3 linked regions of the Saccharomyces cerevisiae S288C genome follow. Changing the gene in region 2 together with the main gene of any one other region gives a genetic interaction. Each region holds a gene or a part of one and is shown on either strand. Other genes may lie near its edges.

Region 1 (4,449 bases), on a different chromosome or scaffold from region 2:
GTGGCGCAATTTTCTTGTACCTGTGGTAGAAAGGGAGCGGTTGAACTGTTAGTATATATTGGCAATATCAGCAAATTTGAAAGAAAATTGTCGGTGAAAAACATACGAAACACAAAGGTCGGGCCTTGCAACGTTATTCAAAGTCATTGTTTAGTTGAGGAGGTAGCAGCGGAGTATATGTATTCCTTTTTTTTGCCTATGGATGTTGTACCATGCCCATTCTGCTCAAGCTTTTGTTAAAATTATTTTTCAGTATTTTTTCTTCCATGTTGCGCGTTACGAGAACAGAAGCGACAGATAACCGCAATCATACAACTAGCGCTACTGCGGGGTGTAAAAAGCACAAGAACTAAGCCAAGATCACAACAGTTATCGATAAAATAGCAGTGTTTGCATGGCCATTGAGAAGGACAACATTGGCGTGCGCGCCAATGTTGTCTCACCATGTAGCTCCAAACGAGTTGTAAGAGACGGACCGCTCACGCTTCCGAAGCGGTCAGAAAACGCTTCCCAGTATGCAGTTGACCTACATTCAACCTGCAAATATTGCTTTGCTTCAAGAAATGATTACACAGACGTCTATTTTCTTCTACATAATGCACGAAACTTGGGCATTTAGTCATGTAGCCGCCTAGCGAGCCTGGGTGCCGTCCTATCTCCTTTGTTCGTGCAAAGAGACAGGAACACACACTGCGTTCTCTTGCGGCCGGTCTGGCGGACTCAGGGGTGCGGCGTTTGCTTAACCGGAGGGAATAATAAAATCGGGGTGACGCAAGTATGAAGTCATGTGTGCTTAGCAATTACGTAGAGGGATTAGAAATAATAGTGTGCGGTTATCGGAACCGGCTCTTGTTCCCGTTTAGAGCAACCCAGGTGCAGGCGTACTTTAAAGTATTTTCTTTCTTTTTTTTCCTGCTACTTACGCTAGGAGCTGCCGCAGCTGCAAAGCCGACGTCGGAGAGGCAGGTGATCTTCGGCTCGGCCGACAAATCCCCTGGATATCATTGGCCTGTCGAGGTATCGGCCGCGTGGAACTACCGGGAATTACTATGCAAAACAATTGGAAATCTGGTAGGAAAACCTTGTTCTAGAACTTGGCGATTGCTGACAAAGAAGAAAAGGGCCTATTGTTGCTGCCTCTTTTGTTGTTCTTCCTCGTATTGTCTTGCCGGTGTTCTTTGTGTCTTTTGTGTGTAGGTTCTTACTATTATAGTGCTCTTTGCTATTATATTTTCTTCGTTTTCACTTTGCGTAATGTAACGGTCTTAAACAAAGTTTTTTTTTTTTCGCTCTTGCATTTTCCTTTTCTGCTCTATCTTATTTGCTAATTGTAGTTTCAGAAGTTTTACTTAAATATAGCACTATTTTCCAGTTTTAATGTTTCTTCTCATTGCTTTCTTTTATAATTTTCGCATATAATTATACATTTACGGTGTCTTAACTCTCCCTCTTCACCCCTCATTATTCCAGAAAATACTAATACTTCTTCACACAAAAGAACGCAGTTAGACAATCAACAATGAATCCTAAATCCTCTACACCTAAGATTCCAAGACCCAAGAACGCATTTATTCTGTTCAGACAGCACTACCACAGGATCTTAATAGACGAATGGACCGCTCAAGGTGTGGAAATACCCCATAATTCAAACATTTCTAAAATTATTGGTACGAAGTGGAAGGGCTTACAACCGGAAGATAAGGCACACTGGGAAAATCTAGCGGAGAAGGAGAAACTAGAACATGAAAGGAAGTATCCTGAATACAAATACAAGCCGGTAAGAAAGTCTAAGAAGAAGCAACTACTTTTGAAGGAAATCGAGCAACAGCAGCAGCAACAACAGAAAGAACAGCAGCAGCAGAAACAGTCACAACCGCAATTACAACAGCCCTTTAACAACAATATAGTTCTTATGAAAAGAGCACATTCTCTTTCACCATCTTCCTCGGTGTCAAGCTCGAACAGCTATCAGTTCCAATTGAACAATGATCTTAAGAGGTTGCCTATTCCTTCTGTTAATACTTCTAACTATATGGTCTCCAGATCTTTAAGTGGACTACCTTTGACGCATGATAAGACGGCAAGAGACCTACCACAGCTGTCATCTCAACTAAATTCTATTCCATATTACTCAGCTCCACACGACCCTTCAACGAGACATCATTACCTCAACGTCGCTCAAGCTCAACCAAGGGCTAACTCGACCCCTCAATTGCCCTTTATTTCATCCATTATCAACAACAGCAGTCAAACACCGGTAACTACAACTACCACATCCACAACAACTGCGACATCTTCTCCTGGGAAATTCTCCTCTTCTCCGAACTCCTCTGTACTGGAGAACAACAGATTAAACAGTATCAACAATTCAAATCAATATTTACCTCCCCCTCTATTACCTTCTCTGCAAGATTTTCAACTGGATCAGTACCAGCAGCTAAAGCAGATGGGACCAACTTATATTGTCAAACCACTGTCTCACACCAGGAACAATCTATTGTCCACAACTACCCCTACGCATCATCACATTCCTCATATACCAAACCAAAACATTCCTCTACATCAAATTATAAACTCAAGCAACACTGAGGTCACCGCTAAAACTAGCCTAGTTTCTCCGAAATGATTTTTTTTTTCCATTTCTTCTTTCCGTTATATTATATTATACTATATTCCCTTTAACTAAAAATTTATGCATTTGGCTCCTGTTTAATAAAAGTTTAAATCGCCTCAAAAGAACAATTGAAAAATATGTAAAATAACAGCAAATAAAAGTCAAAATTAAAACAAAGTACCCAGAGACAAAAAAGAAAGAAAAGAAAAAAGAAACAGTCTACAAATTCTATTTGAATATATAAAATTATATTCTCAATTTTCACGTATATATTCACCTCACAAATAATATCATTCCTTTAAAAAAAAATATGTATTATTGTATAATGTTTCAGCATAGTCGTTTTTTAAGCCCTTTTTTTTAAACTTAAAAAACAAATCAATGAGATATTGTATACCTATATTATCGATAATAAAGCGACGAGGATGGACTGCAAGATATTGGTGTTAGGCGCAGGTGGTCTAGGATGCGAAATCCTGAAGAATTTGACAATGTTAAGCTTTGTTAAACAGGTTCATATTGTAGATATAGACACAATCGAGCTAACCAACCTTAATAGACAATTTCTTTTTTGTGATAAGGACATAGGCAAACCGAAAGCTCAAGTGGCAGCCCAGTATGTAAACACGCGGTTCCCTCAATTGGAAGTTGTGGCGCACGTACAGGACCTGACCACTTTGCCCCCGAGCTTTTACAAAGACTTCCAGTTCATAATCTCGGGGCTGGACGCCATTGAACCTCGTCGCTTCATCAATGAGACTCTCGTGAAGCTTACCTTGGAGTCCAATTATGAAATTTGCATCCCGTTCATAGATGGTGGAACAGAGGGGCTCAAGGGACATGTAAAAACAATCATTCCAGGCATCACTGCATGCTGGGAGTGCTCCATTGATACCTTGCCCTCGCAGCAGGATACTGTGCCAATGTGTACAATCGCCAACAATCCTCGCTGCATTGAGCATGTTGTGGAGTATGTCTCAACTATACAATACCCTGATTTAAATATTGAGTCTACGGCGGATATGGAATTTCTGCTGGAGAAGTGCTGCGAAAGGGCTGCCCAATTTAGCATCTCAACAGAAAAATTATCAACAAGTTTTATCCTGGGTATAATAAAGAGTATCATACCTAGTGTAAGCACTACGAATGCGATGGTTGCAGCGACATGCTGTACGCAGATGGTTAAGATTTATAATGATTTAATCGACCTGGAAAACGGCAATAATTTCACTTTGATTAACTGCTCAGAAGGGTGTTTTATGTACAGTTTCAAGTTCGAGCGGTTACCCGACTGTACTGTTTGTTCAAATTCCAATTCCAACTAGTATTACTAATGAATAATACCATCCGCCGGTGTCACTTGTTTAAACATCTTGCAAGTAAGTCGAGATCCTAGAGAGCCTTGTACATGTGATTGCACAGTAAAGAAGGTATGCAGGCTAAATTATTGTTTACCAGACTAAACTTTAGACGTCCCTCCACAACTTTACGCCAGTTTCCCCTAACATGTTTTTTATTTCATAGCAAAGCATTTTACTCGGATCTGGTCACTAAGGAGCCGTTGATCACACCGAAAAGAATAATAAATAAGACGCCTGGGTTAAACTTATCTATTTCTGAGAGGGCTTCCAACAGACTAGCTGAGATCTACCGCAATAGTAAGGAAAATTTAAGAATTAGTGTGGAAAGTGGTGGATGTCACGGTTTCCAGTACAATCTAACTCTAGAACCCGCTACCAAGCCAGATATTAAGAATGATGTCAAAGACAAGGAGTTTTCAGACGACCTTGACGATGATGATTCCAAGGATATAATATACGTGTTACCCGAAGATA
Region 2 (5,630 bases):
CTTGTCCTTTAAATGGTAGTATAAGTTAGGAAAGTCCTGATAGAACTTCCCCTCAGTAACCGTGTAAGAATTCTTGTTGTCCTTATTGTCATCGAAACGACTATTCAACCAGGTAACGTTTTTCGTCAAATTGATGAAAATAGACCGGGATAGAGTTTCCTGCTCTTCGTTGTTACAACATTTCCTTATTGCTAGATACAATGAGTTGTTCGCATACTGACTGAAAAATCCGGCTTCGTCTAGTTCGCTATAGTGATATAAACATCTCTTGTATATTGGAAGACGAAAATCGTTCGGTATCCCAAACCAATATAAGTTATGCTTACTTATCACCAACAGCAGGTCCGTCTCATCGCCAGATGTATGACAACTTCTCAAATTGCTCCAAAACTTTTCCAATTTTAGTTCTCTTCGAAATAAGTTTCTATTTTGAAACTTTAAATTTAAGATGTTCCTCTTTGTTTCCGATTTAATGAGGTTTTGTATGGATGGATCAGTATGAGTGCACAAGGTTTCATCGTTATTATTGGCAATTAATGATAACGATTCTTTTTCACTATTGATTTTCCTTTTATTTTCCTGAATCAAAGAATCTACACTCAAATTTTTTTGTGGTCTAATGACTAATGAAGATGATCCTGATGAGTTCCTGTTGTTGTTTGGAGTAAACAAACCATCAGAAAACACAGAAGACGCAGAAGAAGATGAAGAAGAGTACATCGTTGATCTGTGATTCGGCGAAGGGGCCACAGGACTCCCCTGAGAGTTTGCTCGAGGAATGGCAAAGTTGTCTATTATGGGGACAGCATAACTAATGAGATTAGTATCTTTATCTATTGTTGTGTCCAGAATTGTTGTCCAATCTGTGGTCCCGGAATGTAGGGCCTCTTCTTTCAAATCGTTTCTTGTTATTCTATGCCTGCTATGGAATAGCCGCTGACTGGGTGGTACGTACTCGTGCATGATATTATTAACCATGAGTTGTAGCTGTTTTGTTATATCCAAAGAATTTGGCTAACGTATCCTTGTACGCGTGATTTATTTATATATACGTGCAGCACAATATATATATATATATATATGTATGCGTGCGCTTGGTTATGGCTCAGTAAAGCGAAAGTAACGGAATAAGCGAGGGAAGGGGGATCTAGCGATGAGGGAATGGCAGTAACAGACTGTTCCCTTACAATACACTCTTGCTAAATTACATCAAGGATAATATACTATTTTAAAACAAAAACCAGCCATTTCCCTAAGGACGCGAAACTTTTGTGACGCGTTTCAAATAAAAAAGAATACTGCAAAACGCAGCACAATAATTAGATAAAACTAGTGGCATATGTCACTAATTAACTATATAGTCACTAATACTGTATATATAGCCGACACAGGCTACACAAAACACAAACGCAAAGGAATTAGGAATGTAGGTAGGTACACCGAGGCTAACTGACACTTCTGGGTCATGGACAAGCTTGTTTTTAGCACATCGTAAGGAATGTAACCACGCTTGAAAATAACAACGATACATATCAAGGTAGTTAGAGAGGCATTCCAGCCATAGATACGCAACCACTTTTTCAATCTGCTATTTGTATTAACTTGTAATTCGCTTGAATTCCAGAATTTATTGACGAAATAGACGAAAAGGGGTAGTTGCAGAACTAGCTCAAGGACTACAAACCAGTATAGCCATTCTGGTTTCTCTGATAGCAGGAAATCGTGTTGCTTTGCGATGTGATCACTAACAACCTTTTGCGCAATCCCTAGTTGCCATTTAGCGGGAATAACCACTGATGAGTCGATGAATATGGTGATGGGAATGTGAACGATGAAGTACCACAAGTAGAATTGTTGCTCACGATGTCCTAGCTTCATTATCTCCGGTCGCTTTTCTCTATATGTTTTCACGTGAGTGGCTCGTTTCTCGTACTTATTTGCTGCGGTTGTTCCTTTTATACCTACTAATTCGTATCCTGTACAAAAGCCGATAATTCTTTACTATGTTTTCAAAGGTTTTTTTTTTTTAAACGATATGCAAATTATTAATTCTTTTGAATATTTCTATGTAATCTAAACCACTTTACAATATACTATATGGAATACGTGGCGAAGAAAATTCCATTATCTCACCTCCGCTTCTTTCTCATCTCTTTCATTTTCTTGTAATGTGCCTTCCTACCGCTCGTAGATTTCTCCTGAATTTCGTTGTATTTACGCTTGAAATACTTATTAGAAGCTTCATCACCCATGAGTGTTTCCAAAATAGTCGACTTTCTTTCCTTCCTGTTCATACGACTACTATAAAACTCACTCTTGTCTTCAATTATGGTACCAATAGCAAACCTCTCTGGCACCTCCCAACGTTGCTTCTTATAATGTCTCTTTGGATCAAGAGCAGCTCTATGTTTAATCAGCAATAAATCTCGTTGAACTTCACGACGCATGTTATCATCTGGCTTTGGTAAGGTAAACCAGTCATTATCGTTTTTGTCGCTCTTGTTGGGTTTTCTTTTATCTTCTGTCTCCACACTAGGCAAGACGTTCTTCTTCTTCTTCTTGTTTGCTAAAGCATCAAATCCGGTTTCTAACTTAGGAAGCTTCTTAAGATTAGTTTCGATCTCTTGAAATTTACTTTCAATTTCTACTTCATCATCATTATTGCCTATCTGCAAAACATCCTCTTGTTGAAGAGAAACTTGTTCCTTCGCTGAATTTTTTACTTCTAGACTGGCACTAGCATCTCTTAGTGCTCCAAATAAGTCTTCCACACTTTGATCCATGTTTAACAGCTCCTTTCTCACGTCCTCTTTAATTGGAAAACTTGACGTCTCATCGCATTTTCTATTTCTTTTCTATCTTCTGTTTTAATATGCTGAAAAATTTTTAGGCCGGCACTAACCACGAATTATGATAAAAGAGAAGGATGTTTAGAGAAAAGGTTTTCGTGTGAAAGGGGGAATTGCGTTGTTAACTGACATAGCTGTCTTCAATGGAATCATAACAATGAAGTTCGAAGACCTCTTGGCAACCAATAAACAGGTGCAGTTTGCTCATGCAGCTACTCAACATTACAAAAGTGTCAAAACTCCAGATTTCTTGGAGAAAGACCCACATCACAAAAAATTTCATAACGCAGATGGCTTGAATCAACAAGGTTCTTCGACCCCATCTACAGCTACCGATGCAAATGCCGCCTCAACTGCTTCCACTCACACAAACACCACGACATTCAAAAGACACATTGTTGCCGTGGATGACATATCGAAAATGAACTATGAAATGATAAAGAATTCTCCAGGGAATGTAATAACGAACGCTAACCAAGATGAGATAGATATAAGCACCCTCAAGACAAGGTTGTACAAGGACAATCTTTACGCTATGAATGACAACTTTTTACAAGCTGTCAATGACCAAATTGTAACATTAAATGCAGCGGAGCAGGACCAAGAAACTGAGGACCCTGACTTATCAGATGATGAAAAAATTGATATACTGACCAAAATCCAAGAGAACTTGCTTGAAGAGTACCAAAAACTTTCACAGAAAGAAAGAAAGTGGTTTATATTGAAAGAACTACTGTTGGATGCAAATGTAGAACTCGATTTGTTCAGTAATCGTGGCAGGAAGGCAAGCCATCCAATCGCATTCGGAGCAGTAGCCATACCAACGAACGTCAATGCGAATTCACTAGCATTTAACAGAACCAAGAGAAGAAAAATTAATAAGAACGGCCTTTTGGAAAACATTCTTTAAGCCAAGATTAACATAAGACAAGTTTGCAAAATCCCCAACTTCACTTCCATATGCATATTCATTTAGGTATATATCGTATATTTGAGAAAAATTCATATATGAAACGTTATTAAAACATGAAAAATAGAATGTGTTATCGGGCTTAACTATATTCTGCCATTCAATGCGTGTTTCTTGACCATCTCTCGCACTACCTCTGACGGTACATAGAATGGGTTATGCTTCTTTGTCTTTTTCGTGTGCTCATATTGTCTTTGGTTCTCGAACTCAACCTCCTGGGTTAAATTTATATTAAAGAACAAGAAATCCTCTATGCTATCATTATTATCTTGAGATTCCATCTCAAATAGTTCAGAAAATCCGGTGTTCCCGAGGTCATCGTATTGCAATTTTTGTTTGTCTACCTCATTACTCAAATTGCTATTGGAGGTGCTTTTGATAGCATCACTACATTTATTATGAAGCATATCCATTAACTCCGTCCTGAGTTGTTCCGACGTGTGTCAACAAAAGGATTTACTAAGAATGTTGTATTTTGAGTTTTAAAAGGACGTGCATATGCACATACATATATATATACATATATGCGTATTTATCATCACTCCGTGCTGTTTAGAAGCTGCACATATTATGCATCTATCGCGATAGTATTGTGAGTTGGAGATAAAGATTTAATCATTTGTGCAACAACCGCTTTCTACTGTAGGCATAGAATTTCGCGCATCCCACCCCTTATTAACAATCACATTTTTTTTTTTTAATATTAATGACTCCGGTGGTCGTGATTGTAATCTTGATAACAATCGCGATCATGATCACGTTCTTTAGCCTCATTATCGAACAGTACTGGAGGTGAATAGGCACACCGTTTATCTAAAAGTTCCATGATCGTGGATTGGTCCCTCAAGATGGAATCATACGTATCTACACCACCGTATCTACTAGTGGTAAATCTCAAAATATCCCCAGTGTTGCCACGGTTCAAAACATCAATGTGGTCCAGTAATAGCTCATACGGATTCGTTCGTGGACGAGGCAGTGCTCCTCTATGAATATTGAACCGATGTTTAATTTTCCACATCTGAGATTCTAATTCAGAATAGTTTCGACGTCTTGCGTCCAATTCTGATTGCGTCCTTGGTTTAACTTCGTAATATAATTGTCTATGTAAGTCTTGGTATTCTTTGGCGAACATAAAGTGATTTGACCTTAATTGCAACTCCAAGCTGCTTGTAGTATATGGTCTTTTCATATCATTTGATTTATCCTTACTCGACCTTTTAATAGAAAACCTCCTGATGAAGTGTGGCACAGCAACCACTCCAAATTTTTCTAGAGGCTTTGTGGGCTTTGTTGAGCTTCTTTTGTCAATTCCAAGGCAAGAAAAGTCGTCTTCATCGGCCAAATATTCATCTTCAAATGTATGTATCGTATCATCAGGCAAGTGTTTATCATCGTAGCCTGTATCTGCTTTAGTTGGAGATTTTACTCGTTTTTGACCACCAGATGTATTTGCGTCGCAATTGCTAATGTATTCTGCACCTAAATACAACTTTTCTAAGTCCGCTGGTAAAGCTGGATCATTGACACCCAGTGGACTTGTCATCGTGAATCGTTGTGTTAAACTAATGAAAGAACCTTCCTTTACATTTTTGTCCACTCTGTTTTTGCCTTTATCTTGATCCTCGTTATCACCATCGGTAAAATCTTGGCCGCTATTAATTCCTGAAGCAACGTTAATACCACCACCAATCCTGCTGTCCAACATCGACAAGGCATGCTCACACCTTCCACCATTTATTGATAGCCCACTTAGTGTCAGTAACCTCGTATAGAATCCATATAGGAAATTTAAATTTGAACACGAAACA
Region 3 (7,123 bases), on a different chromosome or scaffold from region 2:
GCCATCCCTGAACAAAAGCCAGAAAGAGCGAAAAACACAAAGGACGAATTTCCCGTGAACATAATTCGACAATCACCTGGTACTATCAAAACAAGTGATACAAGCCGAAATCGCAAGTGCAACGATGTATTTATCGAGAAGGCTAGTAATAACAATATTCCTAAAATCACTAATGCTTCGAATGATTTGATAGAAATTTCAATTAAAACAGGCGGCAGTTCTTCTGGTTCAGTGTCTGTAGATAAAGGTTTTAAATTTGTCAAATTTGATAACAAAACATTTCAGCGATTACGGAATAGCTTAAAGTTAGTGAATAATAAGCTGCCAAAATATAATGAACCTTCAACGAAGAAGATCAAAATGATCAATGACATAGCGTTAAGTAATCCGTTAAACGAACCAAACGGGGCATCGTACAATTATACAGTTATTTCACATTCTAAGGAAACTTCTGTCGCCCTTGAAAAATACCATGATGGTAATAAACCGAGCAAAATGTTAGAGAAAGACATGATTTTGAAACACACTAAGAATAAACCAAAAAATCCTGATACAGCATGGGCAAATAATAGCGCAAGGACTTTTTGTAGTGTCTGCAAAGAAAAATTTAACGACAATGACAACTATGAGGTAGTATGTGGTAATTGTGGACTTACAGTACACTACTTCTGTTATGCTATTAAACTGCCGAAAGATATGAAGAAAAACACTAACCTTAAGACATTTAAATGGTTATGTGACCCTTGTTCAAATGACCTCAATCCTATAATATCAACGACCTACCAATGTAGTATGTGTCCTACGAAGGACTATGACTATGATAGATATAGGAGCCAATCATTTAAAATATGTCCAGACGCATTGAAATGCACGAGCTTAGGGACATGGGTGCATTTGGTTTGCTCACTTTTCAATGAAGATATCAAATATGGAAACGGACAATCAATGCAACCTGCCCTTAATACCACTGCTGTGCTTATTAAACATAGTAGATTTACATGTGGTGTGTGCAGGATAAATGGAGGTGGGTTAGTGAAGTGTAACAAATGCCAATATAGGTATCATATTACATGTGCACAGAACAGCTCCAATTTTAAGCTTATGTTTGAAAAGAAAAATATGTCTGTAGACACCACTCTACCGTGCATAAAGGATGTCAAGCTTAACGATACATACACTTTGAGACCTATACTAATATGCGATAGACACGATATCAGCTTAGAAGGAAACGAACTTTATCCATTATCGTACAAGCCTCAACATACTCTGTCATACATAGAACAATACTGCAGATATTATAAGTGCGAATCTGACCATAGTCTAGTGGAGTTGAGATATTTTGAACAGCTTAGACTGCGACACGGCGAAATGCCAGGAAACTCACACGACTCTGCTATTAAACCCAAAATTTACGTACTTCCTTTCGAAAGGACTTGCCCACATTGTGGTACAAACAAAAGTTTATACTGGTATGAAGATATTATTTGCCATTCTTGCAATTTGAGATCAGGTGCCCAAGAACTCGATTTTGATAGCGCATCTGCTAATATCTCTAACGATAACGGTTTACCAGTCGAAATTACCCAGCAATTGATGGAAGGAATTGAGCCAGCTATGTTTGATATCGATATTTCAGAAGCTGGTACCGACAAAAATACGCATCCATCAAGCCAGTAAGTGATAGTTACCTTAGATAGAAAGTATGGTCCAATCTTGCGCGGCTTTGTTGTGTTATTTTTTTCCATTATGCTTACAATGAATAATCTTATCCTATTTATGAATACTACAATTTACCATCAGTTACAAAGGAAGTTTTTTATATATTAATTTGGGGCAGGTGTTACTGTTCTTGAGGTTTGGCCCACTATATCTTTTAATTTATCGTCTACTGTTTCAATGACACCACTCCTTTTATTACCAGATGCATTTTTGCGAAGTGAGGAACCCCATATCGAATTTGCTAAAACGTTTTTCCAAGCTATCACATCTTCCATAGCTTTAAAATGTCTATAATTGACTAAGTCAGTCAATATTTCAATCTGCTTATTCACCTTATTACCACGGGAGATTTTGGTTCTTTTCCTTTCTGAACGGGCTAAAATCCTCGCGCCTGGCCTCTGCGAATTTATTATGGATTTTTTCTGTTCCAAGAGTTCATCTCTCTGATCTTCTAATTCTTGTATTCTATTAAGAACATTGCGTGTTTTCGAGCTATCATCTAGCTTCATGAGTTCGTCTGCAATCACCTCCAACTTTTCGTCTATCACAGCTTCTCTCTTCTCTTCGGCATCAACCTGTACATCAACCTCACTTTTAACACCGCTATTTTTATCATCAACATCCATACTATCAACGTTCAATTCGTTTTCGGTAAATTCATTATTTTCTAACTCCTTTAGCAACTTTTCTTCATTTTTGGTGAATGCTGTCAGTGACAGCGCATGGTCGCGCAAGCTAAGGGAACTTTTAATTCGTTCCATTATGGGTCTGATTTGCCTCAAGAGATCATGCTCTTTGCGACCCCAATTATCTAACCAGTCCATTATTCTTGACAAGTCCTCTAACTTGTCAATGCAATACCATTGATCTGGTGATAGTAGCAACCTTGAAGGTGTTTCATCCATAATTTTCTTTTGAATAGGTGTCAGCTCTATAAGTGGGTTTACGCGATCATTACTGTCCAATAGTTCGACCTCTATTCCATTTTCTACGTAATTATAAGATCCGGAACTAGTTTTGGAGATACCAAATACTTCCCTAGTTGCCTCGGATATTCCTTCGGAATTTCTGATTTTTTGCCAATTGCTCAATTGCTCATCACTGACGTTCAAAAAGAATTTCGCCGATGATGCTTTAGGTCCCTGAATTAATAAACGACCGGAGTGATAACTCAAACTATTGTTACTTTTCGGCGTCTCATTCATACCAGCAGGATATTGAGGAAATGGAACACCATTGTGATCCAGCCAAAAATACCTGTTCCCGTATCGATCCAATCCCAACGGCTTTAATCTTTGTAGATCGTTTTCAAATAGACAATTATCGAGGAAATTTTTATCTGATTGTAAAGCTTGTACCTTTTTATCCTGCTCTTCAATTAACTTTTGCTTTTTCTCAATGATAATAAGATCAATTGGTTCACTATTTGATTCGGAATCATCTTTTTTATCGGCACCATCGGCTGATGGTGTGTTTTCATCTGTTTTATTTAACTTCTCTTGAATTGCCTGCAGGTCGCCTTGAAGATTACTTAAGACGGCTGCCTCCGTTTTCAACTCTCTCGCAACTTTGAATCTTTCGCTACGAATTTGACCACATAGTTCCATGGAATCATCTACAGCAGCTTTGATATCTGGAGAAAAATGCGATACGAGATCTACAAGTATCCACAGCGCATTGACTTTGTCACTGAACGACAGCTTTCGACAGAAATTTCTCCAAAGCTGTTTGGGCAATTGAGTAGCTGATATATCTTTGGGTATGATCTTTTCTATGAAAGAATCAATAAACTCTGTATACATGGGAAGATGTCTACAATCTTCTAAGACTCCCAGTAAAATTATTAGCCAGTAACTGTTATTAAATTGCCTTTTCGTCAAGCGTTCTATCCAGTTAACATTGCGGTAGTTCAAACACTTTTCTAATTTAGGATCTCGTTCTTCACTGTCAGAATCAGATTTAGAATCAGATTCTGAATTTGTTTCGTTTTTAGCGTCTGATTCTTTTTGAACTTCTGTTGCGTTTTCCTTTAATGTGTCCTTTAGGTTGTCGATCTTTTCCTTATCTTGTAAAAAGTATCCGTGAGCATTTCGTTTTTGCTTCGCCTCCCCCTCCCCTCTTTCATCTTTTCTCTCCATAAGGACTCCCTTGTCGTCTATTATCCAGTTTTCAACGACGATGCAACTCCAATCGCCTTCTTCGTTGATGAACAAACGTAAGAGCGCAGTAAAAACTTCAATGAGAAGAGCAGACCCATTATGATTGATATTATCAAGTATATCATCGGATGCTGGGTCATCGTGAACAATCTTGTACTCAACCTTGTCGGAATTTCTTTTCATTATCATATCACGAATAAATGAATTTCTTTGCCAGTCACTTGGGTTTTCAGAGTCTTCCTCAGTAGTAGTCTCTGCTTTGTTTTTCATCGGCAGGCCGTTATTTTCAATTTCTTGTTCTTTAGACGTTTGCGTTCTTATGTTCACTAAAACAACTTCGCCCTTTAACTCATATGGGTCTGTACATTTCAAAGAAGTAATGAATTGGTCAAGGCTAAAATGAGAGAGACAAATTTTCGAACCAAACGTATTCAGAAACTGATAGGCTTGTAATAGCTTTCCAAAAGAATCAAAAGGTCTGGAAAGTTTTGTAGAACCTAATGAAATACATTCTAATTTTTCATTATAATACGTTAAGTTTGGAAAGATGTTCGGTGGATGTTGATATGGCAAAGCTAGGTCATCCATTATGCTCGTTATTGTTACAGCCTGAGGCTCCGCATTAGCTGGTGTAGGAACGCTTTCGACGTTTTCCGTGTTCGGTTCCTCATTGGCTTCCTTTTTCCTTTTTTTAGAATGTGTTTCTGATGTGACATTTTGACCCTTCTTCTTGTCTTCTTCCGAAGAATTATTCTCAGAATCATTTACTTCGGTTGGCTTTCTTTTTTTCTTGGTTTCTTTTTTGTTAGAAGCATCGTTTGAGGTGTTACTTTTACCCGATGATTTACTTTGACGTTTATTCTTTTCACTTTCTGGGGATGAAACATTGGCACTGTTGGAACGTCTTGCTACGACAGGTTCATCTTCTTTATATTTTAACATATCTTTTGGCCATTCCATCGTTAAACCATACATCGCTAAATATTCCGGTTTGACACACCAAGGTGCACCCATTTTCGAAGATGCCCTCTGTAAAGTAATCTTGAAAAAACATTTGATTAAGTGCTTAGTGAAAGTGGAACGGTCCCTGTAAATTTGTCCTTGATCAACAATGAAGGATTTATTACTGGAAGCTGCTTCTTCTATCAGCATGTATTTAGTATGAGCGGGCATCACAATTTCCCTGCTCTCTGGATTTATCGTTGCGTTAAATTGGACCTTTTCTTTGATAACATAACGTCTTTGGTATTGGTACTGCGGTAAGCCAGGATTACCAACACTGTTGATTTCGACCATATCATCAGGTTGAGGAGTACTTTGTTGGGAATTAGAGCTTGTGGTAGAAGAGTCTTTCTGTTTACGTAGATAAACAACTTCTCCTGGGAAAAAGTCATTTTTAAATCTTGCGTAAACTTTCTCCACCAATGCATCTAACCTTCTTATTCCGTTAAAATGTAAAAATCTTGCAACTGGTTCTCTCAACTTTAATGGGAATCTGTCTTCGACGTATTTGAATTGTGTCTCCTCACTATCCAGAGCTTGGAAAAAAGTCAGGCAAGAAGTACCAGTGATTTCGCATGTAAAATGGTGGCGTGTGTAGAAATCAAACCTTTCTAAAAATTCTTCGTAACTAGAAAACCATTCTCCAGTCTCTTCAATATGCCATACTTGTACATTCAAATCCAATGGTAAAGGTTTTGGATCAGGAAGTAATATAGGTTTCCTTTTATATAACACCATTGTTTATTAACGGCTTTCTTTACTTCCTCCTATTGTTATTTTCTTTTTTTATATATCTTCAATGGAAGTGCTATAGTAATTGTAAAAATCTGGATATATCTGCCTATTTCCAACAGTAATTGAGTGTGATGTATCTAATGTCAGTTGAATTGTTTACAGCCTTTTAAATAGTTATGTATTTAACCCAATATATGTTTTTCTGAATTTTTTCAGGAGAAATACAAAGAAAAGAAGAAGAGCAAGAAAGAGGATTTTTCTGATCGGTATTATCCTTTTTATTTTTTTTCTATTTCTACACTTTTTTTCCTCTATAATTTTCCTTTATTATTTTTCATTTCGGGTTTTCTCACCACGTTAAAAATGGATAATAAACTTAAAAGAAATAAAACCATGAAATATTTCTATTTTAAGGTTAGACAATACAGAAGGGACAGAGAAAGATGTGTAGGCAAATATACATTTGTTTGAACCATAGATTCAACAGTAATTTAATGCGAGTAAAAAAATCACATTTTTATGTGCGTTTCGAGAGCATCAATTAAGAATCCGGGATAACTGTTGGGAAGCTCTGAAGTTTTCTCCAATATCGAGTACAGGTTTCCACCATTGCACGGAAATATAAACAGACTAAGTTTGTCGTTGTTTTATTGAGAAATTGTTTGTATCATATTACCAGTGCCGCTATTGACTGGAAAGCATTCGTTACGTTCGTTAAAATAATTATCTAAAATACTTGTATCAACTATACACAGAAGGACCGTAGTTCATTCAAAAGTAATTTGGAGGCGGCTAATTTCCTGTTACTGACCATTAATTTAGTATTGCACACACAGATCAATAGACTGACTTCTAATTTAGTCAAAAGCCGTTTCGAAATACCGCATACTTTACTAAAATATTCATGTGAGTGAACGAAATCTTCCAATAATTTCGTGCTCAATCTAACCGCTGCTATTATCATTCGATGGACCTCCTTTTCCTGTAAGTTTAACTTCAACTGCAAAATGTTATTGCCATCCCTTGTTAAAAACAACGTGTCAATTAAAAATGTTGCCACAAGGTAAACAGTTGGCTGGTACTCACATTTGTCTTGGATTCTCTTGAGAAAATCTGCTGATGATAAGGTGGGTTTACTTTTCATGTAGAAATTCGAGTATTCTTTTTTCTCCACTCTAGTATTGAAACCGGTACACTTTCTATTGCCACTAAGTTTTAGTAGTAGTTCTATGGTTTCCTTGAAATTCGCCAGAGCTTCATCAACCGATATGTGGGGCACTTCTACATCAACCGGTATGCCATGTAGCAACGGGTTTTCACTTTCGGACTTAGTTTTTTCTTGATCTTCTTCTTCATCGTGTGGTAGACTGATATGCAACCCTCCCATATCAAAGCTTGTAATGCTGCTACATTCAGAAAAAATGGAGTCATCAATATCTTGCTCCTCCACATCCGTAGCATCGCCAATTTCGAAACTGGCAGTTGGAGATTTGAAGAGTGGTGATCTA

What was found.
Region 1: mutations in IES3 (region 2) and ROX1 together harm fitness more than expected from each alone (negative genetic interaction), as found in Saccharomyces cerevisiae (2 studies listed by BioGRID).
Region 3: mutations in IES3 (region 2) and ITC1 together harm fitness more than expected from each alone (negative genetic interaction), as found in Saccharomyces cerevisiae (4 studies listed by BioGRID).

Annotation. Positions count from the first base shown.
Region 1 is NC_001148.4:678,174-682,622, forward strand, and holds ROX1 (Rox1p), read left to right. Parts: upstream 1-1,519; coding exon 1,520-2,626; downstream 2,627-4,449. Other genes in the region: YPR063C (uncharacterized protein), read right to left, coding at 1-20, 107-147; YPR064W (uncharacterized protein), read left to right, coding at 778-1,197; NEDD8-activating protein UBA3, read left to right, coding at 3,040-3,939; ISA2 (Isa2p), read left to right, coding at 4,047-4,449. UniProt on the Saccharomyces cerevisiae protein: Transcription factor that represses the expression of HEM13, COX5B, ANB1, CYC7 or AAC3 (hypoxic function). Binds to the DNA sequence 5'-RRRTAACAAGAG-3'.
Region 2 is NC_001144.5:244,195-249,824, forward strand, and holds IES3 (Ies3p), read left to right. Parts: upstream 1-3,006; coding exon 3,007-3,759; downstream 3,760-5,630. Other genes in the region: MLO50 (Mlo50p), read right to left, coding at 1-978; EMA19 (Ema19p), read right to left, coding at 1,393-1,878; FCF2 (Fcf2p), read right to left, coding at 2,130-2,783; NRS1 (Nrs1p), read right to left, coding at 3,906-4,232; OSW2 (Osw2p), read right to left, coding at 4,523-5,630. UniProt on the Saccharomyces cerevisiae protein: Probably involved in transcription regulation via its interaction with the INO80 complex, a chromatin-remodeling complex.
Region 3 is NC_001139.9:256,202-263,324, reverse strand, and holds ITC1 (Itc1p), read right to left. Parts: upstream 5,619-7,123; coding exon 1,824-5,618; downstream 1-1,823. Other genes in the region: DNA-binding E3 ubiquitin-protein ligase SNT2, read left to right, coding at 1-1,677; PCL10 (Pcl10p), read right to left, coding at 6,361-7,123. UniProt on the Saccharomyces cerevisiae protein: Functions as a component of the ISW2 complex, which acts in remodeling the chromatin by catalyzing an ATP-dependent alteration in the structure of nucleosomal DNA.